Linked DNA regions of Tamandua tetradactyla. The protein of the gene in region 1 interacts with the protein of each later gene in a pairwise test. Links are inferred from orthologs where the notes say so. Each region holds a gene or a part of one and is shown in the gene's direction. Other genes may lie near its edges.

Region 1 (7,802 bases):
GCTTAAGCCAGAAACTTTAGAGCCATACTTGATTATGTTATTTTTCTCATGCCTCAACTAGTGGAATAACCTCCTGTTACTGCACACCTACTCTTGGCCCTTGAAATCCATTCTTCACATTGCTTCTCAAATGATGAATATCATCATCTTGGTCAAAATTCTTAAGTGGCTTCCTGTTGTTCCTAGGATAAAGTCCAAAACCCTAAACATGGCCTACAACACCCTCTGAGATCAGACTCCTGCTTAGAATACCTAATGCTTACTTAGATTTCTTAACTGCTAGCAGCTATGCTATGCCTTGCAAACATTACATTTTATTCTCATAGCAGTATTGTGAGGCAAGAACTATTAGCGTCACCATCATTTTGCAAATGAGGAAACTCAGTCAAGGGGATATTGTGCAATTTGTCCAAGGTGGTAAAGCCAATAAAGTATTGGAGGCAAGATTTGAATCTAGATCTGTCTGGCTCCAGAGCATGAGCTCTTAAACATTCACACTCTCCTGAAACTGTATGCTCCAATCATTTTGCATTACTTTCACTTCCTAGAACTCATATGCTCTCTCTTACCATGAGGCGTCATACGTAGCACTCCCTATATCTGGAATGTCCCCCTCACAAATCTCAAATTGTACAGGACTGGATATTTATTCACTCATCAAGTTTCTGCTTAAATGTCATCCCCTCAGAAAAACCTTTAATTTTTTAATAAAAAATTAAATTTTTTATTTGTTTAGATCTTCATGGCCTGTCTTTCTTCAATAGAATGTGAAAATTGTTCACTCATCCCCATTTCTTAGAATGGCATTCATTAGAGGGTCAATAAACAAGTGTTGAGTGAGTGAATGAATGATATAAGGGTGGTTATATCATTAATCTGGTAACTTCATCTATTCAGACTGATAAGATACAGAGAGAAGCCCAATACAAATGTCTATCCATTAGATATTTACTTAGTAGCTTCCAGGTCCCAGCCTATACTCTTGACAAATTACAATCTGGTGGGCGAGACAGACACATAAGCATGTGGTTATAGCACAGTATATGTAAAGTACCTGTTATATATGTGGTAGGAATAAGATGCAATAGGTGCCCAGACGAAAAAGACAGTATAAAGCTATGAGAAATCTTCACAGTAGAGGAGATTCTAGAATCCTTTAGAAGGATGGATGGGTCTTGAAATATATATTATATAGTCCATGTATTTCATCTAAGAAAGGGGAGATGAGCATACACTATTTACTGGGACACTTTATATCTCATTTAATTCTCAAAGCAGCTCTCTTTTTATGGATGTGGAAATTCAAGCTAAGAAAGATCAAATAAGTTGTTCAAGATTATGGAATACATTAAAAGAGCAGAATCTGAACCCAGATCTGTCTGACTCCAGTACCCATTTACTTACCAATATATCACAGTACTTTTACTGCGTACTCCCTTTGAGGCTGCTTACTTTTATTTTCAATATAACTTTCAATAAAATTGGTCATCTGGTTTCCCAGTCTAATATAAACAAGCAGCAAAATGAAAGGTTCAGGAAGAGACCAAAGTGAAGTATATGGATAGCAAAGGGAGGGACAGAAAAAACTATAAAAATTGGACACAAAAATTTAAAAAAAAAGCATATCAGGGAGTATCTGTTAGTGCAGTGTTATACAGTCCTATACACTCTACCCTCCACTGTACAACACTACTTGATGTGCATAATAATGATGACACCATTACGAACAAAAAGGTTGTTATGGTCACTACAGTGTAAGAGATAGAGAAATAACTTCTGATGCTTGAGCAAGTAAACTTCAGGTATCTTAAAAATTAATTTCTCCCTGGTAACTATGGTTAAATGAATTATAATGGTTGTTTTCAAAGTGTTGAGAAGAAATAGCCCAAGATCTTAAACAGTCTTTTCATGTTATGGAATTGTTTTCCTGATGCCTTAAACCAAGATCAAGAGAGTATAGAAAAACTGTCAATCTCAGCTTACAAATATTGCCAAGTAAATTATAAATTTTTAAAACTTCTCATACTATGACTTTGAGCAACACGTGTGGACTGAATAATGTGTAGACTGACAGTCATACATGAAGAGTGTCAATGAAGAATCTTAATATCTAAAAACAACCAACATCTAATAACCTTTCAATAAGTCAGGATAAATTGATTATGTATAAAACAGGGGGAAAATGATAATATTTTTAACCTGCTGCACTCATAAATAGGTATGTGAAATAGAAAAGAAACAACTCTAGGTAACACAGAAGATGGTTGAATTATTTACCATAAAAATGTTTTCACTATATACTCTACCTGGATCCAACTTTTTAACTTGAAGATGTCTGCTTTTTTTTTTATAACAAAGGATTTTATAATTTTAATAAATTTACATTTAGAGAACACACCCTAGATTTTTTGTTTTTGTTTCTTTTGCTTTGTCTTTAGAGAACAAGAGAAAATTTGTTTCACCAATTATCTTGAACAGGCAAAGAAGGAAACATTTAATATCCTTTATAATTTGATATGTTTTTGAATGTAAAACTTTTCACATAGAACATAGTTTGCAACAATGTAAAAAGCTAACAGTTCACAACATAAAAGTGACTATAAGGAAAAGCAAGTCTTGTTATTAACTGTAACTTTCACCTATTTTTTTTCCAGAAGGAATGGAGTTGCTGTCTAAAACTGTCTAAAAAAAGAATACTTCGTTTATTTATATTTGGAAACTATTTTTACTTTAGTTCATTTTGTTCAATTTAAACCCCCAAATCAGTGTTTTACAGATCATTCTAAACTTAAGACATGGAGTGAATTTATAATATGAATTCATAATATGACAATCTATTGGAAGCAATACAAAGTGAATAATAAAATAAATAAAAATTTCACTGTACATAGACATAGTTGTACTTTTAATATTCTTTCTTACCTGGACGCTCTTCAGAATAAACTCACTTTTCTCTCGTACATCTTTAAAAGGACACCTCATAGAAAGCATGAGCAGATGAGCAAGAAGCTTATTCAATCCATCCAAAGAAACAGCATTTGAAAGACCGTCTGATGGACGAGAAGGTGTGTCTTTTAACGAACGAAGATACTCGGTTTTCCTCAAAATGATTTGTCTAATGCTTTCCAGTGCTGTCTCTCTAGTACTTGAATCTCTACTGCACAGACCATCCCATCTCACTTCACTCTCTCCTTCGGCCATGACAACTTGGGAGTTTTTCCTTTCCAGTCTTCAATTATCTTTCACCATGTCCCCCAAGGCACTGTATTTTTAAAATGAGAACTATAAGAATAAAATCAGAGAAATCGAGTCGTCATGAAAAAACACGTTTGAGTAACATTTGGAATCAGAACTCTTACATTGATGCTTTCAATTCTCTCCTTTTGCAAGAAGGGGCAGTCTTCTGGTCAGAGACTGGAGAGAAAAAAAAGTTGGAAAGTTGTAACCCTACAGCGCTGGCTTTGCTGGACACGGCGCCTGGAGGAAGTGTTCTCCGTCTCGCCCGGTCAGCGGATATCCTCACGTTGTGGAGTTGTCAAATCCGTGCTCTGCCCCAAAAGGCCGGTAACAGGGAACGCTCTCCAACCATTCGGGTTTTTTAGCCTGAGCAGTCACCGCGTTCTCGGGAGCGTCCCCGCCCTCCGCAGCTCCTCCCTGCGCCGCAGAGGCCAGCTGGGTGCCGGCGGGACGGCTCGCCGAACCCTGGCCCACTGGCCGCCGCGGCCAAGAACCCGGGCGCTCCCTGGGGGCGGTAACCTCCAGCAGCCGCCGTCTGGGCGAAGGCGGCAGCACTGTTAGAGCACAGCACTCACGTCCAGCCGATTCGAATGCCCGGAAAAATGCCGCTGCTTCTCCGAGTCCTGTGTCCTCGGCCAGAGTCCGCCAAGCCAGACGGGTACTGGGCGGCCCTGGCAATCCCCGAGCGTCGGGATGGGCCGCTGAGCAGGCTGAACTGTAGGGCCGGAGGCGCAGAGTCCGCCCCTACGCCCAGCCCCATCGGTGGGGATCGGCCCAGAGGCGGGAGCAGGGAGGGGAGATGGGGTCCTCACCCCCAGCCCCTCCCCTTTCTCCGCCCGGCACAAACCAGGAGCCGCCCCTGCCCCCGCGCTCTCTTCCCCGCCCAGACGGACGAGACCCGCGCAGGCAAAGCCATTGGAAAAAGCCCCGCCCTCCGGCAGGCTACCTCCAGACCCTGAGTCTGCGCGAGGTGGGGCCAACTGCTGCCGGCTGCTACGCATGCGCAATGGCGAAGACGGCGCATGCACCTCCAGAGGCATTTAATATTTTGTGGGTGCGAGTGTGGGGGTGTCGTTTTCCGTTTCCAGGCATTTGGAGTTCTGGAGTGGAGAAGGGGAAAGAAGAGTAAGAAGGAGTAGAAGTTCGCTGAAATTGTTAAAAACAATACGCACGGCAAAGAAAGGAAAATCCTGAGGCTAAATTAAGACTAGCCTAAAAATGGTGACGGCCTCTCTGTTACGCCAAACCCCAGATTTAAGTAGCTAGGACGTTCTCGCATTGGCTTCTGGGAAATATAGTTTTGATGCTGCCGGAGCGGTCTGTTTGCGACAGAAACTACAAGTCCCAAAGGCCACCGCGACGTTGCCTGCTGCGGCCTGTGAACCAACCGTTAGCTGAGGCGCGAGTTGATTGAAAGCGCCAGCTTGGTGAGGTCCGTTGGCTACCTTTTTTTGACAGGACTTTTTCTTCCTTCTTTTCTTCTGGGATCTTGAAGACGAGATCATCTAGAGCACCCCCCCTCAAGTGCGGGGGCTTTTTCTGATGACCTGAGTGGGAAGGGCTAGTCCAGGTGCCCATATCCCGTGGTATGGTGAGGCTCGGATTTGGGGGTCGCGATGTTGGGGGTCGGAGGGAGTGGCCTTCTTTGGGAGTCAAGGGGGAAGCTTGGAAACGGGTGCTGCAGGTCCGCGCTGTCGCCGGTTTTCGCCCTTGCAGGTGCACACACGCGAGATGGATTAGGAATTCTAGTGCAATTGCACCTTGTTTGCATCTGTACCGGGATAGACTGGGCTCTGTTTGGTCAAAGCACATCCCAAGCAGGGCGTTGAAAGCGATTTGTCAAATAACGTTTTGCCTGGGACTAAAGGAAAAAGAATTCCTAGTGTTGTTATATATGACTTATGCAGACTTTAAGGATACCATATGAAAAACTCTAAAGACCTCTGAAATTAGTATCTTTAAAGTTCAATTATTTGTTTACGAATAATTGTTTGTTTTAAAAGTCATTCTTTTTGAGAAAAATCGAGGATTGGAGGGTAATAATGATAATCAGACTAGATTTTATCTCTTCACGTTGCAGAATGTGTAAGACTTTAGTCTTGCTGGGCATAGTGTACAGCTGTGAAAAAGACACGGCCCCTGTCTAGTTAGTAAAACCAATGGTTAGGATGCACGGGTGGTTCTTTGGTAGAATGCTTGTCTTCCATGCAGGAGACCCGGGTTCGGTTTCCGGGTCAGGCACCCCCCCCCCAAAAAAAAAAATAGTTAAGCGTACAATTTCAGTACTATTATGATAGTGCTCTTGTTGAGGATGCTAGTAAGGTCACCTAGCCCCATCTTGGAAGGCAAGAAAGTCTCCTTCCCAAGGTAATTGGGGATCAAAATAACAAAGAGCAAATGCTGAGGCCCAGGGTGAGAGAGATTTGATACTTACAGGAAACTGCAACAAAACCAAAGCTATATCATTGAACTGATTTATACCACCAATGAATTGGTCTAATTTGGCAAGTTTTGCTACATTTTAATGCTAATGGTTTGGATCTGAGTAAAGATGGTGTTTGGGTTTGCTAAAGCTGCTGGAATGCAGTATATCAAAAAGGGCTTGGCTTTTTCAGTGGGGATTTATTAAGTCACAAATTTGTAGTTCTAAGGACATGAAAGTGTGCGAATTAATGCATCAAGAGAAAGATACCTTCTTTGGGGAAAGGCTGTTGACGTCCGAGGCTGCTGGCATTAGGGTTTCCTCTGTTACATGGGAAGACATATGGTAAGGTCTGCTGGTCCTTCTCTCCAAAATGTGTCGGGGTTTCTGTGGGTCCTTGCTTATTTCTCCCAGGGTATTTCTGTCTCTTAGCTTCTCCAGGGATATTTTCTTTCTTAGCTTCTCCCTGGATGTTTTCTTTCTAAATTCTCTCTCCATAAGCTCACTTAAAAGACTTTTTAGTAAAGGATTAAGACCTACCTTGAATGGACTGGATTACATCTCAATTGAAATAGCCTAATCAAAACAAGCTTCACCCATAGTAGGTCTGCACCCACAAGAATAAATTAAAAGAATGTAGTCTTTTTTTTTTTTATAACAGATTCAAATCAGCACAGGTGGGAATAACTGCTCTTATGAATGTGATTTACAAAATAAAAAAGCCCATTTCTCTCTCTGTTGTGGGCTTATCCTTCTTTACCCAGCCCACAAAGTCTAAGTCCCCTTTTTACTCTGTAGCTGAATATGATCTCAGCCATACCCATGGCTTCACCACTACCTATTTGTGGATGACTCCCAAAGGTACAGCTCCATCGACTTTATCTTTCAGCCTTCATATATCCAATGATCTCTCTGCTGTTTCTTCTTGTATATCTCAAAAGCACCTCAAACTCAATATGCCTAAAACCAAATTCACAGTTACCTGGTTCTCTTCCAGTGTTCTGTCTCAGTATACTACTGTCTGTCTACTTGTGAAATTTTGAAAGCTAACCCTCATTCTTGATTCCTTTCTGTTCTTGTACCTCTATAGCCAAAATATTACCAAGTGTTATCAATCTTAAATCCCAAATACCTCTCCAACCCATCTGTTTCCCTTTATCTACATCAGTACAGTCCTATTCTAAACTGCTATAATCTCTTGTCAAGACCACTGCAATAGTCATTATTCACTCTGGGCCTCCTCCATTAGTTCTCCATACAGCAGCCAGAATGATCTTTTCAAAATGCATCCCATTGCTCTTAAAATAAAAACAAAACTCCTTAACATAACCTTTAAAGCCCAGCATCATCTGATTGCCTTTCCACTTCTCCAGCTTCACTTAGTATCATTCTCTAACTCTTTCCCTGTGCTTCAGCCGTAGAGAGAGACCTTTCTTCAGTCACTGGTTCTCACCACATTCCCTTTCACCCATTCGTTTATTCAACATAATTGTTGAGTGCCAACTATGTAACAGGATATAACACTGAGTACACATACAAGTCCCCCCATCCTCCTGTTATAGAGCTTGCATTCTGCTAAGGAGAGATAGACGATAAATAAATAAGTAAAATATTTAGTACATCAAATGAAGACAGATGCAGTGGAGAAAAATAAAACTGGGATGGGGAATGGTGCCAAGTTGTGGGGGCAGGGTTCACTTTTATATATGGTGGTCACAGATGACTTCATCAGGAAGGAGACATTTGTAGGGATCTCTGTAGGGGATGGAGGATTAAGCCATTAAGATTCCTTGGTGGGTGGGGTGGGGGGAGAATATTCAGGAACAAGGCCTGTGAGGGACCATGCCTGCACATTTAAAAAAGGAGGCTTACTCTGGCTGGGGTATAGTGAGTCAGGGGATAAAAGCAGCATGAGGTCAGAGTGGAAGAGGGTAGAGCTAGATCATGTAGGTGATTGAAAAGACTTTGGCTTTTTTTATTGATATGAAGAAGCAATTGGAGGGTTCTGAGCAGATGCAGGCGGGGTCTGACATTTTTTAAAGGATCATATCTTTTAAATTATATTGAGCATAGACCATTAGAGAGCAAGAGTAGTAGCAGAAAGACTGATTAGGAAGTTAAAGTAATAATCCCCGTGAGAGAT
Region 2 (7,698 bases), on another chromosome or scaffold:
CAGAGGCTGTCTGTGGCATGAAGCAGAATTTAGGGGTGCTGGATGGTCTGCAGTTCTTTAATGAGGGACCTGGGCCCAGCCCAGATCTGGGGTAAGAGGGAGCCTAGCAGCTGTGGGCAGTGGCTGGGCTTGACCTTATCCAAGATGTCTCCAGATAAATGGGGCTCCCATCTAGTCTTGGCCCCAGCCCAGGGTTGGAGATAAAGTGCCACTGCTGCCAGGCCCTGGACTGGCAGTGGTAGTAGTCCCCTGGCATGGTTCTGGTTCCTGAGGGCCCTGGGCCAGAGCTGGAGGTAGTTAGGGGGTTTCCTGGAGCCTTCCCTGTTAGTAGGGAAATAGATACTCAAGATCCTCTAGCCTCCGCATGTCCTCAAGCCCGATGGAGATGGTTTTCCTCTGGGGTTCCCTCCGTTGCACGGTGACCTGGATAGGATTATTCTCAGGGAAGCTGTTGAAGTCAGTGGCCATGGTTGCAAACTGAAATAAGAAAAGCCCTCAGAATTCCTTCCATGACCTACCCTGGCTCACTTTCTCTGTTTCTGTCCACTAAGTAGGATCTTAAATAGCCTCATCCAACGTATTCATTGACACACCAAATAGGTCCAAAGATGGGACTTGATTTGCTCAAGGTCACCCAGCTGATAATAGACATAGGTATGCGTCAAACCTGTGCTTCCCAGTTGTGTGATGTTTTTACCAAAGGGCTGTCAAAACTCAAGCCTGTCTCCCCACTGTCCTCCACCCACACAGGTTATTTCCTTCATTCTCCTTTAGCCTCTTGTCCTTGCTCTGTTTGCCTCAATGCACTTAACTTCTGGTCCACTCAGAATTACTGGTACTGAGTTGTGGACTCCATAAGCCAGTGGTTTTGGATGGTGGGCATAACAGTGATGCTGATGTATACATTAGTTTGCATTCTTAGTGGACCCCAGTGAGGCTTAATCCTTACACCTCCCAGAAGAAAGAAACCTGGAATTGCTGCCATTCTCCCAGGAGAATAAGCTCACAGGGAGATGAATCAGGGGAGCGGTCTGGGGTTTTGCCCACCCTCAAAGCCCCAGCTCTGATTTCAGACTTTACTCCCTCATCCCTGGGGCCCCCCTTTTCTCCCAGGGCTTACTTTATAGGGCTTGCACCACTTCCCCACTCCAGCTGTGTTGGCTGCGCGGACGGTGAGGCAGTAACTAGTGTTAGGCTTCAGCTCCATCAGCTTGACGGTGGTGCCCAAGATTTTGTTGAAGATCCACGGGTGATTCTTTGGCTTGGGTAGCTCATCATCACTTTTCTTGACCATCTCCTGCAACAGGACCTGGTAGAAACTGACCTGCTGCTTGCCCAAGGCATAGGTCCAGGAAATCTAGGGGAAGAGAGCCCCCGAAGCTTCCTCAGACCTGGCCTTCCCTAGCCGCTTCCCTAAGTGGGTGTCAGTGCCCCCACTTCCATCTCCTGCCAGAACTGAGGCATGTTCACTGGTAGTTGGGAGGCATTCCAATGCTGAATGTGGGACCACCTTCCCACCAGGATGTGCTGCTCTCCCTGGCCAGCCCCCGCACGAGGGTGTTCCCTCATTCCATGTTTCTAGACCTTAGATTCTGGGTCAGTTGAGGGGGATCTTGGAGATCATCTATGTATGCCACTCACTGAACATGGGGTTACAGATCCAAGAGGGCAAGTAACTGGCTAAGAGTCATAGCAGGTAGCAGAGTTAAGATTCAAACCCATAGCTCCAGAGCTCACACACTTTACGACAGTGATTCTCAAACCTGGCCAAGGATTGTGGAAAGTTAGTTACACTGCAGATTTTTGGGCCTATTGTCTCTGGTCTCCCCATTTCCAGTTTTTCCTCAATCTAGGCTAGTGGTTCTCATACTCTAGTGTATCAGAATACCCTAGAGGACTAGTTAAAATGCAAATTGCTGCCCCCCACCCCCACAGTTTCTGAATCTGAAGGCTCACGGTGAAACAGAGAGCTTGAATTTCTAGCACGTTGCCATGTGATGGTGATGCCAGGGATCACGTTTTGAGAAAACCCTGCTTGCTCCTGGCCATCCAACAATGAAACTTCATGTTTTATCTTCCTAAAATACAGAGCTTTCAGATGTTACGTATTGCTACAGAAAAATCTATACGGTGCCTAACATTGGAGGGCCTCTGTAAAATGACCAGACCAACTGTTCCCTTCTACTCCCCTCTCCTCCCCTTCCCATATTCTAGGCTCTGGGGGATTTGTTAGAAATGCAAATTTTCAGGCCCCACCCCACACCTGAATCCGAATCTCTGGAGACAAAGCCCAGGAATCTCAGTTTTAGCAACATGGTCAGGTGGTCTATAGGCACCTGAAACTGAGAAGTATTGGATTAGGACCTGGGATCGACTGAGGCTACTCATTTCCTCCCATGCTTTGGCACCTGTGAGCTAGCATTGCGGGATCACGTGGGATGCCTTTCCTCCTTGCTCTCTACGTGTTTAAATCCTGAAATTCAGCTCAAATGTTACCAAAACCCACGAAGCATATTCCTGCAGCTGGAAGTAATGTTTTTTTCCCTCTGAATTCCTAGTGATATTTAATTTGTCCTTTTCCTACAGCACTGAGCCCTTTCTATCTTGGAATTCTTTAGAGATCTGCCCTCTTTCCCTTACTAAAACCACGAACTTGAGGTCAGGTTGCAGGTCTTGGCATCTTCATGCTTCCCACAGAGCTCAACTCAGTGCTTGCACAGAGTGGGCAGCAAGTAAGGCTTTGCTGAACTCACGAGCATGGGGAACTCACCACAGCCGTGGTATCACTGACGGTGTGTTCACAGATGAAGGGTGCATCTGGCACGTCCACAGTCACAGAGGATTCAGAGAGCGTTGAGGAGGTGTCTGTGTCCAGCTCAGGGTTGTCAAGGTCCAACAGGCCCCCAGGGACCACTTGGGACTTATATTTGTGGGGACAGAGGGCCAGGTCCCCCTTATCTTCACTCTTGGCGAGCGTGGTTAAGCTGAGTTTATTCAGCTCTCCCTCCGGTATCCCTGCAAAGAAGCTGCTGTTCAGCTGGGTCACGGCTAGTTTGATGGGGTTCAACAAGGTGGATGAGATGGAGGAGATGCTGGTTTCGTCGGAGCTGCATTCGGAATCCTCCGCTGGCGTCGGCTTCCTGGAGCGGGCGGGGGGACAGGTGAGCCAGATGAAGGAGGCTCTCCTTCTCTCCCATTATACCATAAAAATTCCTACAAGCACCCTCCATTTTAGCCAGAACTTCTTACTACAGTTCTCTTAGGGAAGGGACACCATGCTCTCAGCCTCTCATATAATCAGGACCAGCTACATAGTTTGTGGAGCCCAGTGCAAAATTTAAAAGTCTGTGACTCCTGATTTAAAAATTAAGAATTTTGAGACAGTGACAGCAGAGCATTAAGCTAAGCACGGGACTCTTCTAAGTGTGGGGCCATGTGTGACTACACAGGTCACACACCCACGAAACATATGCCCACAAGTAGTTCCGTCAGCGCACATCACCTTGCACTACCATCCCTTCACTGGCTAAGTTCTTCCCTTCCTTGGAGATTCAGCTCAACTATCACCTCTTCCCAGAAGCTTCCCTTCACTGCACACAGCCCTCAAGCTATACTAAGCTGCAGCTTCTGTTTTCTCAAGGCACTCTACCAGACTATGCTGTAACATTCATTTTCCTACCTGATTCTACCCCCACCCCCACCAGACCGGGAACTCCTTGGAGGCCAGGACTTTGCTTTCCAGATCTGCATTCAGGAGTTAACACTGGGCCAAACACCTTGCAGGTGCTCTCAGAGTTTTGTGAAATGAGATAACAGAAACCCAGAATCACCAAGGAGAAAGACTAAATTTCACAGTGAGGGAAGGCAGGCTCTTGGAGGACATAATCAGGCTGGTACCGAGGGAGGATTGAGGGAGAGGCGCCATGGGAGTTAGGAACTCATTCAGGCAAAGCAGGATAACAAGTGCAGTCAACAGACCCTTCACTAATCCAGGAAGGCCCCCTGGAGGTAGGGGTCCAAGTGCCCTCAAGAGCTGATCAAGGGCTCTGGAATACATACACAGCTCAACCCCACATACATCCTTTCCCCTGGGAGTCCAGTGACTTGGTTGAGACAGGTCAAGAAATTAAGTTTTCTTCAAGGCACTCCTCCCATCCCCCAGTTCCAGCCTTGGGAGGAAGGGAAGAAGGGAAGGGACCAGACTTGTGTCTTACTGTGAAGTGTTGTTCTTTTCCTCCAAGAAGTTAACCAAACTGCCCCCGGAGGAAAGTGGGAGTCCTTTGATAGTGACAGTCTGGTTCATAGACTTGGGGTTTGGAAAGGGCTTCTGCATTTGATCGAGAGCATTCAAAACGTTGAGGTTTTCCTGTCTCAGCACGGCCTCTTCCCCATCTCCCAGTTTGCAGAGCGCCTGTGATGCCATCTGGTTTATTTGAGACCACGGTTGTCACCATGCAGGACAACCAAGCTGACAGGAAGCAGAGAGAAACTGTGGGTGCAGCAGACCGGCTCTTAGTTTGGGTGGGACAGGGGTGCAATGAGCTGACTTCATAATCATTGGAGAGTGTAACAATTAAGGGTTAGTCTTGCCTTACCTGGAGGTTGCTGCTGCCCAGCTCACTGTGAGGCCAGACCAAGGGCCAGCATGAGGAGTGGAGTAGAGTGAGGGGCTGGACTGCATGAGCTCTTATGACCCTGCCAGCTCTACATGGTTGCAGCAGACCTGCCCTTCTCTGAAGGTCTCAGGATTCTTAACACCCATGTCCTTCAGCGCATACTGTGTAGAAGGATAGTAGAGAAAGGAAAATGGGTGTGGAGAAAGGCAGCAGTGCCCTGGGAGGTAGGTAATGCTGGAACAAGACTCTGCAGGTGGGAGGCTTTATCTGTAGATGGTGAGGTGCTACACCCTGAAATCCTAGGCAGCGGGCTCCACCACGTCCAGGCGTGGAGGCATACGGAAAAAGCCCGGAAGGCTCATGGCTCACGTATGACCAAGTGAACCATGGTCTATTATGCTACAATAGAATATCTATTATTCTAGCATTATAGAATTTTAAATGTGTCCCTCTCTCCCCTAGGTGTCTTCATGTATGGAGTGGCAGTGGCTGTTGCTGCAGAGGGATGCAGAGATCAGCCACGCATCTTTACTCTTAAGAAAACCACTTTACGTTCGGAAACAGAGAACAGCTTTGAAGGAAGGGAAGGATAGATTCCAATAGTGAAAAGACACTGACTTTGCATAGGATGGTGGTGAAGAGTAAAGGTGTTCACAGATGTAAAATCTTATTTCTTTCAGCAATTAAACCAATGTAGTGGACACTTAAAAATACCAAATCATATTTTTTATTTTATATATTTAGGTTTTCTTTTTTCATAAAAAAGAAATTTGGAAAATTCAGAGAAGCTAGGGCACTCTCTTAGTATCAGTCATATAATATGTAACTAAATTAATTAATTAGATTCCTTTTCATTTTTTTTTCTCGCCTTCACTAAAATGTAAGCTCCCTGAGGGTAGGGGATTGTCCTCAGCGTTGAAACCGAAGCTAGCACATAGCTCACTGAAAGGTTTGTGGGTGTGTGTTAGGGGAGGGACTTGGGAAGGTAGAATCCGGCCGTAGAGCACGTGTTGTGCATGCTGGGCGACGTGTGGCCTGCTGTGCACAGGACGTCGTGAACTTCTATGAGTATGTGATACTAAGGTGGCGGTGGAGAGGGGTGCCGAGCCCGCGGGGCCGGATGATCTCCGCGCCAACCGCCCAGGGTGGCGGAGGCCGCGGTTCTGTCCCCGCGGCCAGCAGATGGTGCTGCAGGCCAGGCCCTTGCCGGGTGCGCGAACCTGGAAGCAGGAAGCGGCCGCGCAGAGCGTCCGGGGCGGGCGAGCGCTGCGCGCGGGAGTCCCCACCGGGTCGCGAAAGGGCGGGCTGTCCCCCTACCCGGGCCTCCGCCCCGCCTCCTACTTCCAGAACCCGCCCCGCCACAGCCCTTTTCAGAAAGCAGCGGCGGGGAGCGTCTGGGGAGGGCCTCGCGCTTCCCCACCCGACAGGCCCACCCCCTCTTTCCCGCTCCCTCCAAGCCCCGAAACTCGTGCTGTCCCAGGCCTACAGCGGACATGGGCGTGCTCAGGGCCGGGCTGTGCCCCGGCCTCACCCCGGAGATGGTCCAGCTTCTGAAGAGCCGCGGAATCAAGACAGGTGACCACCTGTGCGCGTTAATGCGCATGCCAGGGAGCCGAGTGTGAGTGTGCACCGGGGAGGGGTGTGGAAGTGTGTTCATGCCAGGGGCCCATGCGCTCCATCCGTAGTCGGGGCAGACCCACCGGGCCTGGTCATCTCTGCCCTGGCATAGCTGCGGGGCGCTTCCGTCACGTTTCTGGAGGGCCATTCCCCTCATCAGCCTTCTTGCCCTGTCTGAAGAAAGGTAGAACCCCTACAACGGGCCAGACACAGCGCCACCTGTTACTGCAGCTAAGCCTCCTCAGACAACCTGCTTTGAGAGTGAATTGTTACCCCTTTTTATTAGATGAGGAAAAGCCAAGTGGGAAGGTCCAGACTCTCCTTCCTGCCAATAAAACAAACTACACCTGTTTTTTTTTTTTTTTTCCAGTGGTGGACCTGGTTTCTTCAGACCTGGAGGAGGTAGCCCAGAAATGCGCTGTATCTTATAAGGTGAGCTAATGGTCCCCATCTCCAAATGTGGGTGTTTTTAGAGTCCATCCCTATGCAGAGATGGGCATGAGACCCCGGGATGACCCCTCCTGTGGGTGGTTCATTGCTGAGAAATTGTGGGCTGCTCTGGATTGAAGGGTCCCTGGCCAGATCCTGAGTGGACCCCCCCCCCCTCTTTGGCAGGCCCTGGTTGCCTTGAGGCGGGTGCTGCTGGCTCAGTTCTCGGCTTTCCCCTTCAATGGTGCTGATCTCTATGAGGAGCTGAAGACCTCCACTGCCATCCTCTCCACCGGCATTGGAAGGTGTGTATGTGTATTTGGGAACGAAGCTGCCTCTCAGCTCAGCTTTTGATCTTTGAGTCTAGAAGAAAACAGGATGTTTGCTTGTTTATTTCTTAGCAGTAGTGAGGACAGCATGGGCAGATGGGAAGGAAAGTGGTCAAGAATTGTGGTTTCACAACCTGGGTACTATTGACATTTTGGGCCAGATAATTATTTTGTATGGGGGCTGTATTGTGCATTGTTGAATGTTCAGCAGCATCCCTGGTTTTTATACCCTGGATATCAGTAGCACTCCTTCCAATAAAGACAGTCAGAAATATCTCCTGACATTACCAAATGTCCCCTGGGGGTAGGGGGCACAGAATCACCCCTTGGTTGAGAGCCACTGTCCTATAACCCAAGATGTCGATATTTCATTGTTGCTCAGCAGATTAGTTTCTGTCTGGCCCTGTCTTCCATTTCACTTAAGGGTAGAACAAGTGAGAACATGGCAGGACTAACATTTGCTGAGTGTCTAATGTGTGGCAGGCTTTGACTATAGGCTATATGCAACCTCCTCTGTTGCTAACCTACAAGTTAGTAAATATTAGCCCCACTTGGGTCTAACCCAAGGGCAGTGGTTGGGCTCACAATCTGGGGTGTTTGACCCAGAACTTGATCTTTCACCCTCCTCTGCAGCAGTAGGAAATGAGAGCACTTACCTAAGGGAGACATTACACTCTCCCATGTTGTTTGGATTCAGAAAGAGTTGG
Region 3 (7,287 bases), on another chromosome or scaffold:
CTTTTTAATCAGGATCCCAGTAGCATTCATGAGATGTGACTTGTTGAAATGTCTTTCATGTCTTTTTCCATCTCTAGCTCTCCTCTCTCTTTTTTTCCTTGCAATTTACTTACTGAGGTAACCAGGTGGTTTATCCTATAGGGTTTCCCACAGACTGGATTTTGCTGAATGCACCCCTGGGGTGGATGTTAACATGTTCCCCTGTCTTCTGGGTGTCCTGAGAATTGGTAGTTAGATCCAGAGGCTTGACTGGATTTGGGGGTGATTCTGGAGAAAGACAGCATCATCGGGAGAGGTGTGCTATTCCACCAGGAGGACATAAAGCCTCTGGCCACTGTCTTTAGGACGTTAGCCCCCTTCGATGCTCAGGGCCTACACCTACTCATTCATAAGTGCTCAGAATGTGCTACTCCGATTCTATCCTCACACCCTCATTTATTCGTGGGACAACGTCTGAAAAGGGAGAGATGTTACCCCGTTTGGCGGGGTGAATAGTAGCAAACCCCCACCCCTTAAAACACTCAAGTTCACCTGGAACGTCGTTTGGAATTAGAGTCTTTGCAGGTATAATTAGGTATGGTGCGGTCATACTGGATTAGAGTAGACCCCAAACCAGTGACTGGTGTCTCTACAAGGAGGAAGACACGTGAGAACAACCAGGCACAACCAATCATCCTCGTACAGGAAAGGCAGGATTGTACCTGATTCTTCCCCTGGATCTACCAGTTTTCAAAGTAATGAGGTAGTTCACCAACTCCTCCAACAATGAGCATTTTATAAATTTATCATTATGAACCTTATGAATTAAATTTAAGCATCTATGATTTCTTCTTTTTAAAATTTAACCCGTAGGCATTTTTAATTTTCCTGAATTGACTTTGTCCAAAAACAGTTGCTCACCATTGGCAGAAGTTGTTGTCACTGTTCTTAGCTGCAAAGGGCTTGCGTGGAACAGGAACTAAGACGAGATCACGAAGAGGCCCTGGCTTTTGGCAAGTGGGTCACTGGTCTCCCACAAGGACACATTTCCTTAAGTTGATGGGGGGCAGATGCAGAGGTTTGCAGTGATGGAAAATAGAGGCAAATGGCATCAATGCTCCTTATATAATTTTGGTGATGAAGTGAATAAGCAATAATGTTTAGTGTTTCTATGTGCAAGGGTCATTTATTCCTCATGACAACCTTAAAAAGGGGGGTATTAATTTCTCAGAGCTGCTATAACAAAAGTACCACTAACTGGTGACTTAAAACAACAGAAATTTATTGGCTCACATTTCTGGAGGCCGGAAATCCTAAATCAAGGTGTTAACAGGGCCATGTTCCCTCTGAGACCTCCAAAGAGGATGCTTTCATTGCCTCTTCCTGGTTTCAGGTGGCCCCAGGCATTGCTTGGCTTGCGGCAGCTACATCCAGTCCACCTCCACCTTTACATGGTTGTCTTCGCACTTGGGTCTTGTGTGTCTCTTCTCCCTTCTTCTAAGGACACAAGTTATTGAGGTATGGCTGGAATCAGGATGGTGGCTGGCAGAGCAAAGGGCAAATATCCAGAAGCATCAGGCCTCAAGGGGAAAGAACAGCCTGAGAAGAACAGCCATAAACGGCATCTGGTGGAGCCAACCGACCCTGCCGGAGGGATCATCTACCATCATGCATCCACAGATGCGGGGAAAGGAGGGGCAGTGGAATAGTTAATAAACATTAAAAAGGAACAAAAGTGTGTGAAAGGTCGGGGCCTCTCTCTTCTCATCCCTCTTTTCTGGTGAGCTTGCCCACATGTCCTCTCACCCACATTCTCAGTAAATGTCCTACCTGCTTGCTCTATGCTATGCTGTGCCCTTGGGTCCTTCCTCGCAGCAAAGCCATGAACCTAGGAAGCTGAGCCCTGCTACAGTATTGGATTTCGGGCCCACCCCACTCCAGTAGGACTCATGTCAATTATTTCCATCTGCAATGACCTGATTTCCACACAAGATTGCAGCCACAGTTTCTGAGGGTTCAACATGTCTTTTTAGGGAATACAGTTCAACCCATCACAGGAGGAGCTAACTTCATCCCTGTTTGCTGGATGGCAAAGATGAGACACACAGGTTAAGTCACCCGCGCTGGTCCACACAGCTGGTACATGGTCAAAGCACACTCCGAACCCAGGCCGCTGGGCTGCTCTGTCCGCCGGCCCGACACTGCAGGGCAACCACACACAAGACAGGAATTTAAAAGGAAGGGATTTCTACATGTGCTTTCTCTTCAAGATAAAGGAGATTTAATCCTATTTGTGGATAAAGCCAAGAGGCCAGGAAAAGAGAATAATTGAGTAATGGAATTTAGAGGGAAAAAGGATTGGGCAAACTGCTAAGAGAATAGGATTAAGAACATAATTCTCATCCCAACTGCTTGAAGCAACAGGATGCTCCCCAGAACCCACTGTCTTGGCTCTTGTGTCCTATGCTGTCTAGTATGGGTGGGTGCTGCTGGCTGCATCTGGCCACCCCACCCCCACCCCCGTCCAAGGCATGCTTAGGTGAAATTGTGATAAACTGTGTATGTGAAATACATACCAGAGTTCAAAGACTTAGCACCAAAAAAAAAAAAAAACAGAATGTAAGATATAATAATGATGTTTATATTAATTATATGTTAAGATGAATATTTTTAAAATTATATTGGGTTAAACAAAATATTATGAATAATTTCAGCTGTGTCTGTTAACCTTTTTTAAATGTAGCTACTAAAAAAACATGAAATGACGTAGCTGGCCCCTGTCCACGACTGGTATTGTGTTTCACTTGGACGGAGCAACTCTAGATGACACACATCCACCCTGGGTCTACAAGACGGTGCCAAGTGGACACTGCCCCTCCCGCCTCACCTCCTGCTGTAGGCTCAGTCCTCTCCTTCTTCCTCGGGGCTTCTGAGCAGTCACTTCAGGTCCAGGGCACGGGAGGGAGTGGAGAAGGGGGCACGGAGAAGGGGAAAGCGCCCGCCCCTCTCGATAAACAGAACTTCCTACTGATGAGATTGGCCACCTCTTGGGATGGCTCCAGTGCGCTATTTCTCTGCAGTATTCTTTCCCTTTTCCTCCCCTTCTCCAAGAACCGTTTCTGTTCTCCCAGGGTGTTTGGACCAGCAAGAAAGGGGCAGAGAAGAGTGGACTGCATTTGAGAGTGGACTGCATTCGTTTCACTTTGCTGCTATAACAATTAATCCCAAACTCTGTGGCTTAAAATAACACATATCTGAGATTCCACTGTTCTGGCGGTCAGACCTAGGGCACGTTTCCTTGGTTTGGAGTCAGGGTGTGGACAGGGCTGGGTTCCTGCTGGAGCCTCGGTCCCTTGCCTCGTCCAGCTTCTGGAGGCTTCCTGCACGCCATGCCTTGAGTCCCACCCTTAACACCCGTTGTCACCTCTGGCCTCCTCCCTGGTCCCCTCTTTCACCTGGAAGGAGCCCTATGGTTACATCAGGTCCAATCTGGGTGAGTCAGGAGACTCCCCTGTTTAACGTAATCAATCCACGAACTCCCTTGGTCTGCACAAGGCAGCACGGTCACGGGCTCAGGGATTTGGACATGGGCCTCCCGGGACCAGCATCCTCGCTTCCACGGGGGTGTCGCTGCCTCCGGCCCGGCTGGTCAGGCTCTGCCTCAGACCAGTGCAGACACGTGATCCAGGAACCACGGGATGGGGTCTGGAGAGAGGCATTTGATGGGGAGTGGGGAGGAGGGTCTTTCTGTGAGGAGGACTGAGGAGGACACCCCCGGGAGGAGCTGCTGCGGGAGGAGGGACACGCAGGCAGCAAGTGACAGGCGAGCAGTTCCCTGAGTGCGGCCTGCGGCCGGAGGCCACGCGGATCACCACCGGGGCTCCAACCATGGGCCAGCCCTCCAAACACCAAGTAAACTTTTATTACAAATGTTGCCAAGAAACCAGACAATAACATCAGAAATAAAGTGCTCCCAGCACTGGACCCGAACTAGATTGGACTCCTTCTTGTTAGGCCGCTGTTCCCCTTTTTCCAGAATTCCTGTAAGAAACTCGGCACTAATTAGACTTGCCACACTGGAAGTATACCAAGAAATAAGAAAAACTGCTCTCCGCGCCCAAGATCAGCAATGGTGAGAAGCTGCGCCTGCAAACGGGCTGCTGCCGACTCACGGTTTACATTTTTTAAAAGGACAAATCGTGGAGGAGGGTCTGATAAGCTCTCCCAGCTGCTGAACTCCTGCCGGAGCTTGGGTGCCCTTGTCTCTTGCTGTGTCACGCCGCCTTCCCTCCCCTGCCGGCTCTGGCCCACTGCCTGTGTGTGTGCGTGTGTGTGTGTGTGCGCGCGCACTGGCGTGTTTGTCTATGTGGTCTGTTTCCCCTGTGAGAACCCGGCCTGCCTGTCTCCTGCTGTCCCTGCTGCTCTGACTTGTTCTTTGCTGCCTCTTTCCTCTCCTCCCTTCTCTCTTTGCTCAGCTCCTAGCCTGCCGGTGAGTATGACAACCACCCCCCGAGGCCTACGAGAAGAGGTAGGGTGCGGTTTGTGGTGTTGAAAACATGCAACTTTGAGATCGAAGTGAGCTGTTGAAGAACTTTCCACTGCTTTGTTTGTAAGTGAAATGCGTTGCTTAGGAAGGAGTGCGTAGAACCTGCTGAGACCTCTAGTGCAAGCACAGGATTCTCTCTTTCAGAGGAGGGAGGACAATAAAGTTTATACAAAATAAAATTTAGAAATAGCTTTTGCTGAAAAACTAGCGAGGACAGAAAGGGACAGTTTAAAAAGGAACAGAGCTCCTTGGACTTTTTCTTCCCCTCTTGTTGATTTATCTGGAGGCTGCTCCTAGGAACTGAGCTGTCCTGTGGCTCACAAGGACGCTGTCATTCTGCTTTAAAGTGCATGTGGAGCGGGAATTGGAAGGATAGCCATGGAATTAAGTATAAAAACCATCGGTGGTCAGGGCATCTGATAAATACAGCGCAAATCGAATGCAGAGAACTTGTATCTGCACTAACCATACTAACACGCCTTTCAGTTGGCTTTAAACCCATCACTTTGAAGTTCGGTCTACTTTCAATTTGATTTCATCCTGAAATAGCTTCCCTAACACTTTACAACCGACATATGAACGGAAACCCTTAAATGTTTACTGTTTTCAGATTGATTTTAAAAAGTGTTCTCTTCCCTTGGTTTCTGAGGATGACATGCTAAATACCATGATGCCTTCCACAAGAGCTTAAAATAACCTCTGGCTGGACAGCAGGTGCCACATGCCCCCGCCTTGAGCTGGGGGCGGGGGCTGGGAGCGAAGTTAAATATAGCCGGTGTGCACAGCACGTAGGGGGCAGGCCATGTGGCCGCTGACGGCGTGGCCCGGTGACGAAGCTGACCGATGGAGTGGGTGGAAGGAAGGGCTTCCTTCCAAGTGAATGAGAGCTGGGGGGGGGGGGGGGGGGCCTCATGGGAGTCTCCATTCATGCTGGTGTCCGCGAGGCCCGGGAGAGGGAGTGGGGCGGTCACGCTGGCGTTTCCTCTCCCTGCCAGCGCGGCAGCACACCTGGGCGCCAGGAGGAACCTGCCAGGTTTCTACGCTGTGAATTAACAGGCTCACTGTGAAACACCCTTTACAAGCGGAAAGCTATTCTATCTGTTTCTCTAAACATCCTGGCTGAAAGGCCCAAGCTAAAGCTCTTGCAAACTCAGAAATGGAGACCGCCAGAAACCCTGGAATCTTTTGCCTCATCACGTCCCTCTCGGACTATTGCCCGGATTATATCTGGATTTTTTTTCCCCAATTCATCCTTTCCCTGAATACTGGCCACTGCTATTTCTTAAAAATAAATAAGTTATTCTGGTGTTTCTTGACTGAGAAGAGAAAGCTGGGATCTGTTTTATCCTAAAGGAAAGTGGGTTTTAATGTTGGAACAAATGTGTATTGAGTAAATTCAAGAATTATCATGAGCACCACCGTGTAGTCACACTGGGCAGTCCGTTTGTTTATACCTGCTCTCACTGTCTTATTCTAGAAATGATGCTAGTGTGAACCTCAGAAAATGTGTTTTACTAAATGACAATTACATGTTACTCATCTGGGAAAAAGAAAACATTGGAAAAGCAAGAAAGTACCTCCTGCTTTCACCATTTTTGGTGTAAGCATTTACACCAAAATATTCATATTGATCACATCTTGAGTTATGGATTAAAATAGAGTTTAGGGATATTGTTGTAATGGATACTTTTAGTAGACTCAACAGCTCTTGCATTAACTGTTTTAACTTTGAAAGAAAACTAATACCAATTTAAATTTCAACCTTTAAGTGTATTCAACCATGTGCTTCCAACGATTTTGAACCTACATAGAATTGTATGAGAGAATGATAGCCACTAACTGACTATTCTAAGCAAAATGTCAAACAGGGCCATGCAAAGGAAATAATAGCATGAATTACTCTTTTCATGACAATAATAGGGGACACAAGTGGAATGCAAAGACCAAAACAAAAGTATGCTAGTAGTATGACTCAATTTGGAGAAATGACTTCCACCTGTTACTACCTTACTAACTAGCATCAGTGGCTTATGAAGGGGCGTTCAGTCAATGTTAGAAACCCATTTGGGGTTGTCCTTACCATTTACATACAGCTGAGTTAACTACCTTAACCTAACTGTGCTCATCTCTAGGCACTGCTCCCAATATGGAGACTGGTCAACCCATACTACCCTCAGTGGAACCGCAGTCAACAGCCCCAGGGGATGGAGAGGAGAGTTCTTCATTGCCACCGAGGCTAAATGGCCTGGAGAAGCCAGATGGCCAGGATTCCTCACCCCCAATCCAAGAACCAGAGAAAGGGGCAAGTGTGCAGCCTGAAAAGGCAGCTCATGATATCTCCGAAGAGTTGAATCGACAACTGGAAGACATTATAAGCACATACGGGTCCGCCGCCAGCACAACGGGGCAGGAGGGCCCTGGCACAACCAAAGAGAGGGCAGAATCCCTTGACCACGAGGAAAGGGACTATGAAGAGACCATGGAAGAGACTGAAAGGGAGCCCACAGCTTCTGGAGAGCCACCTGCAGCCAAAGAGTCTGTCGGCAATAAAGAGCAAAAATCGGAAAAGAAAATCCTAAAGGGATTAGGCAAGTCATTTGTCCTACTCTGTGGCTTTTCTCTCTTTGAATCTGTCCTAAAATGGGGCACTTCCTCTGACCTTTACTAAAAGCACATTTAGATAGATATGTCTCTCATTGGTTGGTTATAACAGCCTCCTTCAGGGATGCCCTGCATCTCCTCTTGCCATACCTGCCCTAGCC
Region 4 (7,680 bases), on another chromosome or scaffold:
ACTACATTGAAGGCCTCTGTTAAAATCTGAATATTTTCTAAGGGGGAATGAATGAACTATAAGCATCTTAGTTCACATTAGTTGATTGAATTGCTTAACCACTTAGTAAGATCCTGTGTGAAAGGGACACAGAAGCAGGTAAATTTTGAAGAGGGAAAGGAAAGGTTCCGAATATAGATTGTTGCCTGGGGAAAGTAGATGGAGTTAGGGTATCAGTATAGAGCTCTGGTAAGCCGAGACTTGCTTGAAAGCAGTGGAAGCCCAGATGGAGGGGAGACTGCTAAAAAGTGAGGGGTAGGGTGGTTTCTATAGGACAATAAAAGCCATTAAAAGCAAATCTTCTCTACTACCAGTTCTGCCAGGAGCTATCTAGCTTTCTTGTGTGTGTATATGGAGGGGAGTGGTGGCTGTGGTGGTGAGTATTGTCCATAAGAAAAGCTGTAACTTCTTTATATTTTAGAAAATTCACCACCTTTCTGTGGGAGATCAGATCAAATGAGGTTGAAAAATAATTCACAGGAATCAATTGACTTCTGACTCAACTTTGGGTTCAACATTTTTTTTTGAGAAATACCTTTTTCTTGATTTTAAAAAAACTACAAAAGGGATACATGAATAAATTCTTATTGTAGAATATTCAAATGGTTACAAAATATATTGAATAAAAAGTGAAAGACCTCTCAACACCCACCCCAATTCCAGGCTCACACTGTTTATAGTGTGCCCCCAGGTTATTTTCTATGCATTTACCTGCACATATAAGAATATTTTTGCATAGATAGGATAATCTGTATTTGTTCTATATATCTCCTTCTTCTATTTAATTTTTTGAAAAGGTAATACATGCACAGTATAAAAAAATTCAAACAATACAAAAGGACATATATAATGTAAAGTATTTCTCCCTCCTATGCTTGATCCCCCAGGCAACCAGTCATTCAGTTTCTTAAGTACCTTTGTAGAAGAGTCTATGCATATACAAGTATACAGGGACATATCTACCCCCCTTTCTTTTTACACTAGTAGCAAACCATGCATAGATCTGCACTTTCCTTTTTTCATTTAACAGTATCTCAGAGATTGTTTTATATATACATATTGTGCAGATTTGAAAGGATTTATGTACCCTAGAAAAGCCATGTCTTAATCCTAATCAATCTTGTGAGAACAATGGTTTCTTCTAATCCCTATTCAGTACTATAGGTTGGAAACTTGATTAGGTCATCTCCATGGAGATGTAACTCAATCAACTGTGGGTATTAAACTTGATTAGATGGAGATGTGTCTCCACCCATTCTATGTGGGTCTTGAGTAATTTACTGGAATCCTATAAAAGAGGAGATTCTGAGAGAGCAGAGAATGATGACAGCCACAGGAAAGCCACAGCAAAATACCACAGAACCACAAAGCAGAGAGTCCACCAGCCAGCAACTTTTGGAGATGAAGAAGAAAAATGCCTCATGGGGAGCTTCATGAACCAGGAAACCTGCGGAGGAAGCTAGCAGATGATGCCATGCTTGCCATGTGCCTTTCCAGATGGGAGAGAAACCATGACCATGTTTGCCATATCCCCTTCCATTTGAGAGAGAAACCCTGAATTTCATTGGCCTTTTTGAATCAAGGTATCTTTCCCTGGATGCCTTGGATTGGACATGTCTATAGACTTGCTTTAATTGGGGCATTTTCATGGCCTCAGAACTGTAAACTTGTAACTTTTTAAATTCCCCTTTTTAAAAAGCCATCCCATTTCTGGTATATTGCATTCTGGCAGCTAGCAAACTAGAACACAAATATAAACATATATATAACAAGAAACAAACACATTCTTTTTAAAAATCTTTTATTAATTTTTAAGTTTTTAAAAATATATAACAAAGAAACACAAACATTCTTAACTTATGATCATTCCATTTAAAATATATATTCATAATTCACAGTATCATCACATAGTTGCATATTCATCATCATGATCATTTCTTAGAACATTTACATTGATTCAGAAAAAGAAATAAAAAGACAACAGAAAAAATTCATACATACCATACCCCTTACCCCTCCTTTTCACTGATCACTAGCATTTCAATCTAAACTTATTTTAACATTTGTTCCCCCTATTATTTATTTTTATTCCATATGTTTTACTCATCTGTTGATAAGGTAGATAAAAGGAGCATCAGACACAAGGTTTTCACAATCACACAGTCACATTGTGAAAGCTATATCATTGATCACTAGCATTTCAATCTGCTAAATTTATTTTAACATTTGTTCCCCCTAATGAAAATAAAAATTATTCATTTTTATTCTGTATATTTTACTTATCTGTTGATAAGGTAGATAAAAGGAGCATCAGACACAAGGTTTTCACAATCACACAGTCACATTGTGAAAGCTATATCATTATACAATCATCTTCAAGAAACATGGCTACTGGAACACAACTCTACATTTTCAGGCAGTTCCCTCCAGCCTCTCCATTACATCTTGACTAACAAGGTGATATCTATTTAATGCATAGACTCTGTTTGGAATCTCTCAGCCATTGACACTTTATTTTGTCTCATTTCACTCTTCCCCCTTTTTGGTCAAGAAGGTTTTCTCAATCCCTTGATGCTGAGTCTCCGCTCATTTTAGGATTTCTGCCCCACGTTGCCAAGAAGGTCCACACCCCTGGGAGTCATGTCCCATGTAGCCAAGGGAAGGGCCGTGAGTTTGCTTGTTATGTTGACTGGAGAGAGAGGCCACATCTGACCAACGAAAGAGGTTTTCTTGAGGGTGACTCTTAGGCCTAATTTTAAGTAGGCTTGGCTTTTCCTATTTGGGGTTAAGTTTCATATGAACAAACCCCAAGATTGGGGGCTCAGCCTATTGCTTTGGTTTTCCCCACTGCTTGTGAGAATATCAAGAACTCTCCACTTGGGGAAGTTGAATTTTCCTCCTTTCTCACCATTCCTCCAAGGGGACTTTGAAAATACTTTTTACTCAGTGTTCAAATCACTCTGGGATTTATTGGGGCATCACTCTGGACAAACCTACAAAATCTTATGCCCTACTCAAGGTTCTATGTACTTATGGTGTTCAATTAAGTTGTTCACATAAGTTATATTAGGAACTGCAGTAGTCAAAATATAAATTTTGTACCAAGTAAGCATTTTTTGCTTTAGTCTGACTCAACTTTTACTTCTCTTGGGCCAGACTTTCATCAGGATAGCTTGGCTGTGATTTTTGTCTTGTTTCCACCTCAGTACTCTCTAGTACATTGTTTAACAGGGGTGTTGGCTGATTACTATTGGTTCCGTGATGGATACACCCAGAGCTAAGTTAATTTTTCTGGACTTGTTCCCATGCATAGTAATGAGAAGTCTCTGTGTGTGTGTGTGTTTGTGCATATTAACTCTCATTTGCTCCTTTCTTTCTCCATTTTCTCCCATGTTAAGACCAAGTTTTTTGTGGCCTCCTACTCTTTCCCTCTTCCATCTATGCCGTGAGTGAGGCAGCTGAGCCAATGATAGTAGAGAATCTGACTCCAGACCAACGGGATGCCCTGGCTTCCAGGTGGGCCAATTAGCTTATCAAGGATATTGAATACTTGAAGAGCTGGCATCTGTCCCCTTGTAAACTCTTGTTTTGATGGTCAAGGATTTGAAGGTGCAAAAAAAAAAACACTCACAAACAAAAAGCAACCCTACTTTATTTTATTTGCTCTGGTGGCTTTCTTTAATCCATCCCCACAACTTCTGCCCAAGGCCAATAAAACAGCCATTCTCCCTTTGTAAAAAGAAAGAGGGGTTGGGTTTCCTTCAATTGTCTGCCCTTTTCTGTCTCCTCCACTATTTTTGTTTTACTCTATAGTTAACTTTGCAAAGGGTGGCTTCACCCGAGAACCTATGCGGTTGGACCCAGGCACTTTCTTCTTAATGCCTATTGCAACATCCTTTTTCTTGTTCTGATCTGGGTGTTTGTGGGTCCAGGGTGGTGGTGGGTAGGAGAAGAGTTTGGCCATAGTCTTCTTTTTATATTCCTCACACATTCTGCGCTTTCTCTCTCTCTCTCTCTCTCTCTCATACACACACACACACACACACACACACACACACACACACACACACGCACACGCGCCTGCTTGGGCCCCTCTCGGTGTGTCTTCCTTCAAGATGACAGGGCGCTGGAGAAAAGGCTGCTGGAATCAGCTGGTAGGTACAGTAGTAACCCGAACCCCACCCACCCCGCTGCCTTTCCTTGCTCAGGTTTCTCCGGTCACTCCTGCCAGGGGAGAAAACATGTAAACGTGCCTCCAGAGGAGGGGCTGGGGAAGCTGGGAGCGGCAGGGGCGGAGGAAGGTGAGCCCGGGAAGGTGGCTGAGCGGCCCTCCTGCCAGGTTCTTCCCAGACCTCCCTCCGGGCGTCAGCCCAACCCTGTTTGCCCGCACTCTACCCCCCTTTTCGAAGGGATTGCCTTTTTTTTTCCCTCTGCGGCGGCGGAAATGACAGTGTGGTGCTGCCGTGGTGTCATGGTGCTGCCTGTGGGCTGAGGGGGCGAAAACTCTTTAACTTTGGCTTGGGAGACCCAACCGCTGCAGCGTCGCGGCCGCCGTGCTGTCACGGGCGGGGCGCGCGGGGCGGGCGGATCTCGGCTGCTGCGCGGCAGCGGCGGCGGCATTGGCGAAGGCGGCGAAGGCGGGCGGCGGCCTAGAGCAGTGGCGGCAGCGGCCAGGGACTTGGGCCGAAGCCGGAGCCAGCTCGCTGCGGAGGGAGGCGAGCGCCGAGCGCCCTCAGTGGCGCCGAGGAGATGGCTGGCACCTGGCAAAGCTATGGGTAAAATGCGCCCCCTCGCCGCGGCCCCAGGGGTGGAGCGCCGCCGCCTGCGCAGAGCTCCCGGGCTCTTGGCGCGCCTCAGGTGCCGCGGTGGCCCGGCCCGGCCCGGGCTGAGGGCTCGGATGCTCGGCGGGGCGGGGTGACCCGGCCCGCGAGGCTCACGGCAGCGGCGCGGCCCCGGCCCGGCCCTGACTCTCCGTTGCACCGCTGGGGCCCAGGCTCCTGCCCTTGCTCTCCTGGGACTGGAGTTTGCACTCCCGGGTGCGGGTGGGGGCGGCCCGAGGCCTCCCGCGCAGCCGGATCGGCCCGGAGCGGGCAGTGAAGCGCCCCCACCCCGCCATCCCGCAGCCTCCGGCGCCTGGGCGCGAGTCTGGGAAAGGGCAGAGCCGCCTTCCCACGCTCCCGCTGTCTGCAGCCTCCTCGGCCCCGGCGGCGTCCCTCAGACAGCTGGTTGCCCCGCGGTGGCTGCCGCAGCAGTCCGAAATGCTGAGGACATCCTGGTGGTGGGAAGGCCCGGCGAAACTTAATCCCTCTTCTGCCAGAGGAGCAATCATCTAGTCTCTGTATGGGTGGCTAATTATTTCTGGCCTAGCTGTGAAACCAGCTTTACCGGGGAGAGGAAAAACTTACATATGTCCGCAAGACAGACTGCGACTGACTGGGGAGACGTGGGGTTTTAACATTCCTGTCTCCTAAGAATTAAGTAAATAGCGGTGGAGTAGATTTACAGAAACATTATTTGTTGATGATAAGGTTTAGGTTACTTAGCCCTTCGTGTGCAGCGCGAAATTATTTTTCGGAGGCATTTCTTCTCAGAGCAGGAAATTGGGATTCTATGGTCGCTGGGTTGTTCGCTTTCCCTCTTCCACACTCCCCTACCCACCACGCTCACTCACCTTCTTTCCACGTTGTCGCACATCTACCCACCCACTTCAAATCTCCCATATGCTCCCACCCCACCCCTCAGCCTTTCCCCATCAACCTGTGCACTCTAGTAACCTCCCAGCTGTGCAGCCTTTTGCTTCTCAATCTCTTTGCCATTTTCAGTATTTCTGACGTTGGGGTAGTAACGGTTTTATGTTTCTGAGGTTAAAACAAAAGGGAGAGACCCTTAAAAAAGAAATATATTGGAAGCTGTGTAAATAGACAAGTGCTGTGTGTTGGTTGATATTCGTCTGATTCTCAAATTGGACCCATGAGGGCTGCCTTTAACCCCACAGAGTCCTCTTCTAGTTCTCTAATCAGTTCTCTGGCAATGCTCCAATAGAAGGGGGTGGTGGTGTCTGAATTGGAAATCCCTCTCCCTACTTCTTTTCTGCCCTGAAAGCACTGCTGCTCCACTCCAGCTGGGTACCTCTCCCAACACTATATCCCCCTTTCCACTTGCTCTTCACTTATCACTGTTCTGAGGAGGGAAGAACTTTTGCTATTTTATTATATATATATAAAAGATATATATATATATATATATATATATATATATATATATATGTATTCCTGACCAATCACTTAACAGAGATATATTTTTTCATTTTTATTTTCTATTTTTTTTTGGCCTGGACAGGCTCCAGGGATTGAACCTGGGTCTCTGGCATTAACAGAGATATATAATATGAATTAGGCTTCTCCTGATTGTTCTTCACAAGTTGATTTATGTGGTTGAAATACAGGCCTAGGAGCCAAGTATATCAGAGAATTCATCCCAAATCTGATGTTGCATTGACCTTATGGCTTTAGGGCATTCCTATGACCTTTCTTTCATAGTCGGTGCACTTGTGTAAAAGGCATAAAGTTGTGTGCTGGGGTATTGTGAGTCTTGACTTGGTCCTTTGAAGATGAAAGGTTTCTATAAACCCTCAACATTATACTTTTCAAAGAAAGTACTTCATTTACCTTGTATTGGAATGGTGGATTGACTAGGAATATCAGAAACTCTAGTTTACTGGAAACTTTAGCTTGTCATAGCAGCTACCCTGAGAGCCAAATCTCTGATTGTAGTTATGTTTAAGTCTGTTTTTTTTTTTCAGTAAGCATACAACTGAATGAAAACTAAAACTAGGTGTACAGAGTAATGGTGATTATTTTAAGTTATCTTAAATTCTGCTGAAAAAAAATGGCATAAGTAATTTTAGACATGGCTATATAAGTTAGTATCTAGCAACAGTGAGTCAATATTTATTAAGCACCTACAATGTGCAGAGTCCTGTGCTGATTGCACTGAGGCCCCAGGCTTGGCCCAATGTTTTGGCTTCTTGCTTATTTGAGGCCTACTTTCATACTTGCAGCTCCAGGATTGGGAAAGGGAGGAACTATGGAGGGTAGGGGTAGAGGCTAGCCATATGAAGGGGTGATTGTTTCCTTCCCATTTACTTCCATGACTACTAGAATTCTCATCTATTATATTGTACCTTGCAAGGCCTCCTCTGGGAAGTGTTGCCACAAATCAATGACTTGGTTGTTTCATGAACATATCATCTGAACAGTACAAATTGATTTAAATGAAATTGGTTTAGTTAATCCCTCCTCTAAGTGAAGGGCAACTTGCTCTGACTTGCAGATCCTAACACAGAGCTGGTGGAGTCTCATAATTGTCTCCAAAAATTGCTCTGGGTAGTGAGCCTGTTCATTCTCTCATCCCTCCTCCCATAAAATCTGCTGACGCTATAACAATTGAGAAGGAAACTACAGAAGGAGTATGTCTTTACCACTCAGCAAACCTCACTGGCTTGGTAGAGAGGAGAGAATGTCATCTTTTCACCCCATCCCTCTGTGCTCCAGTTTCCTCTTTCCCAAAAGGGACACAGAGCTTTTAAAAAGAGGTGAAGAGGGCAACGGTGGCCCAGTGGCAGGGTTTTCGCCTGCCATT

Evidence for each region.
Region 2: the proteins of CEP57L1 (region 1) and RAD51D interact in binary tests that used the Homo sapiens proteins (3 or more experiments, as listed by UniProt). The two-hybrid records come from large-scale screens. The link is inferred for Tamandua tetradactyla from reciprocal best matches to the Homo sapiens genes CEP57L1 and RAD51D.
Region 3: the proteins of CEP57L1 (region 1) and TXLNB interact in binary tests that used the Homo sapiens proteins (3 or more experiments, as listed by UniProt). The two-hybrid records come from large-scale screens. The link is inferred for Tamandua tetradactyla from reciprocal best matches to the Homo sapiens genes CEP57L1 and TXLNB.
Region 4: the proteins of CEP57L1 (region 1) and MID2 interact in binary tests that used the Homo sapiens proteins (3 or more experiments, as listed by UniProt). The two-hybrid records come from large-scale screens. The link is inferred for Tamandua tetradactyla from reciprocal best matches to the Homo sapiens genes CEP57L1 and MID2.

The regions. Positions count from the first base shown.
Region 1 is NC_135331.1:167,541,675-167,549,476, forward strand, and holds the start of CEP57L1 (centrosomal protein CEP57L1), read left to right. Parts: upstream 1-4,675; 5' UTR 4,676-4,825; coding exon 4,826-4,828; intron 4,829-7,802. Other genes in the region: SESN1 (sestrin-1), read right to left, coding at 2,923-3,201. UniProt on the Homo sapiens protein: Centrosomal protein which may be required for microtubule attachment to centrosomes.
Region 2 is NC_135332.1:46,247,356-46,255,053, forward strand, and holds the start of RAD51D (DNA repair protein RAD51 homolog 4), read left to right. Parts: upstream 1-4,576; 5' UTR 4,577-4,840; intron 4,841-5,078; 5' UTR 5,079-5,565; intron 5,566-5,875; exon of another isoform or gene 5,876-6,073; 5' UTR 6,074-6,109; coding exon 6,110-6,191; intron 6,192-6,603; coding exon 6,604-6,665; intron 6,666-6,848; coding exon 6,849-6,967; intron 6,968-7,698. Other genes in the region: FNDC8 (fibronectin type III domain-containing protein 8), read right to left, coding at 325-477, 1,121-1,357, 2,771-3,140, 4,215-4,423. UniProt on the Homo sapiens protein: Involved in the homologous recombination repair (HRR) pathway of double-stranded DNA breaks arising during DNA replication or induced by DNA-damaging agents. Bind to single-stranded DNA (ssDNA) and has DNA-dependent ATPase activity.
Region 3 is NC_135351.1:39,321,246-39,328,532, reverse strand, and holds the start of TXLNB (beta-taxilin), read left to right. Parts: upstream 1-4,286; 5' UTR 4,287-4,468; intron 4,469-6,657; 5' UTR 6,658-6,671; coding exon 6,672-7,113; intron 7,114-7,287. UniProt on the Homo sapiens protein: Promotes motor nerve regeneration. May be involved in intracellular vesicle traffic.
Region 4 is NC_135353.1:63,688,329-63,696,008, reverse strand, and holds the start of MID2 (putative E3 ubiquitin-protein ligase MID2), read left to right. Parts: upstream 1-4,636; 5' UTR 4,637-4,810; coding exon 4,811-4,814; intron 4,815-7,680. UniProt on the Homo sapiens protein: E3 ubiquitin ligase that plays a role in microtubule stabilization. Mediates the 'Lys-48'-linked polyubiquitination of LRRK2 to drive its localization to microtubules and its proteasomal degradation in neurons.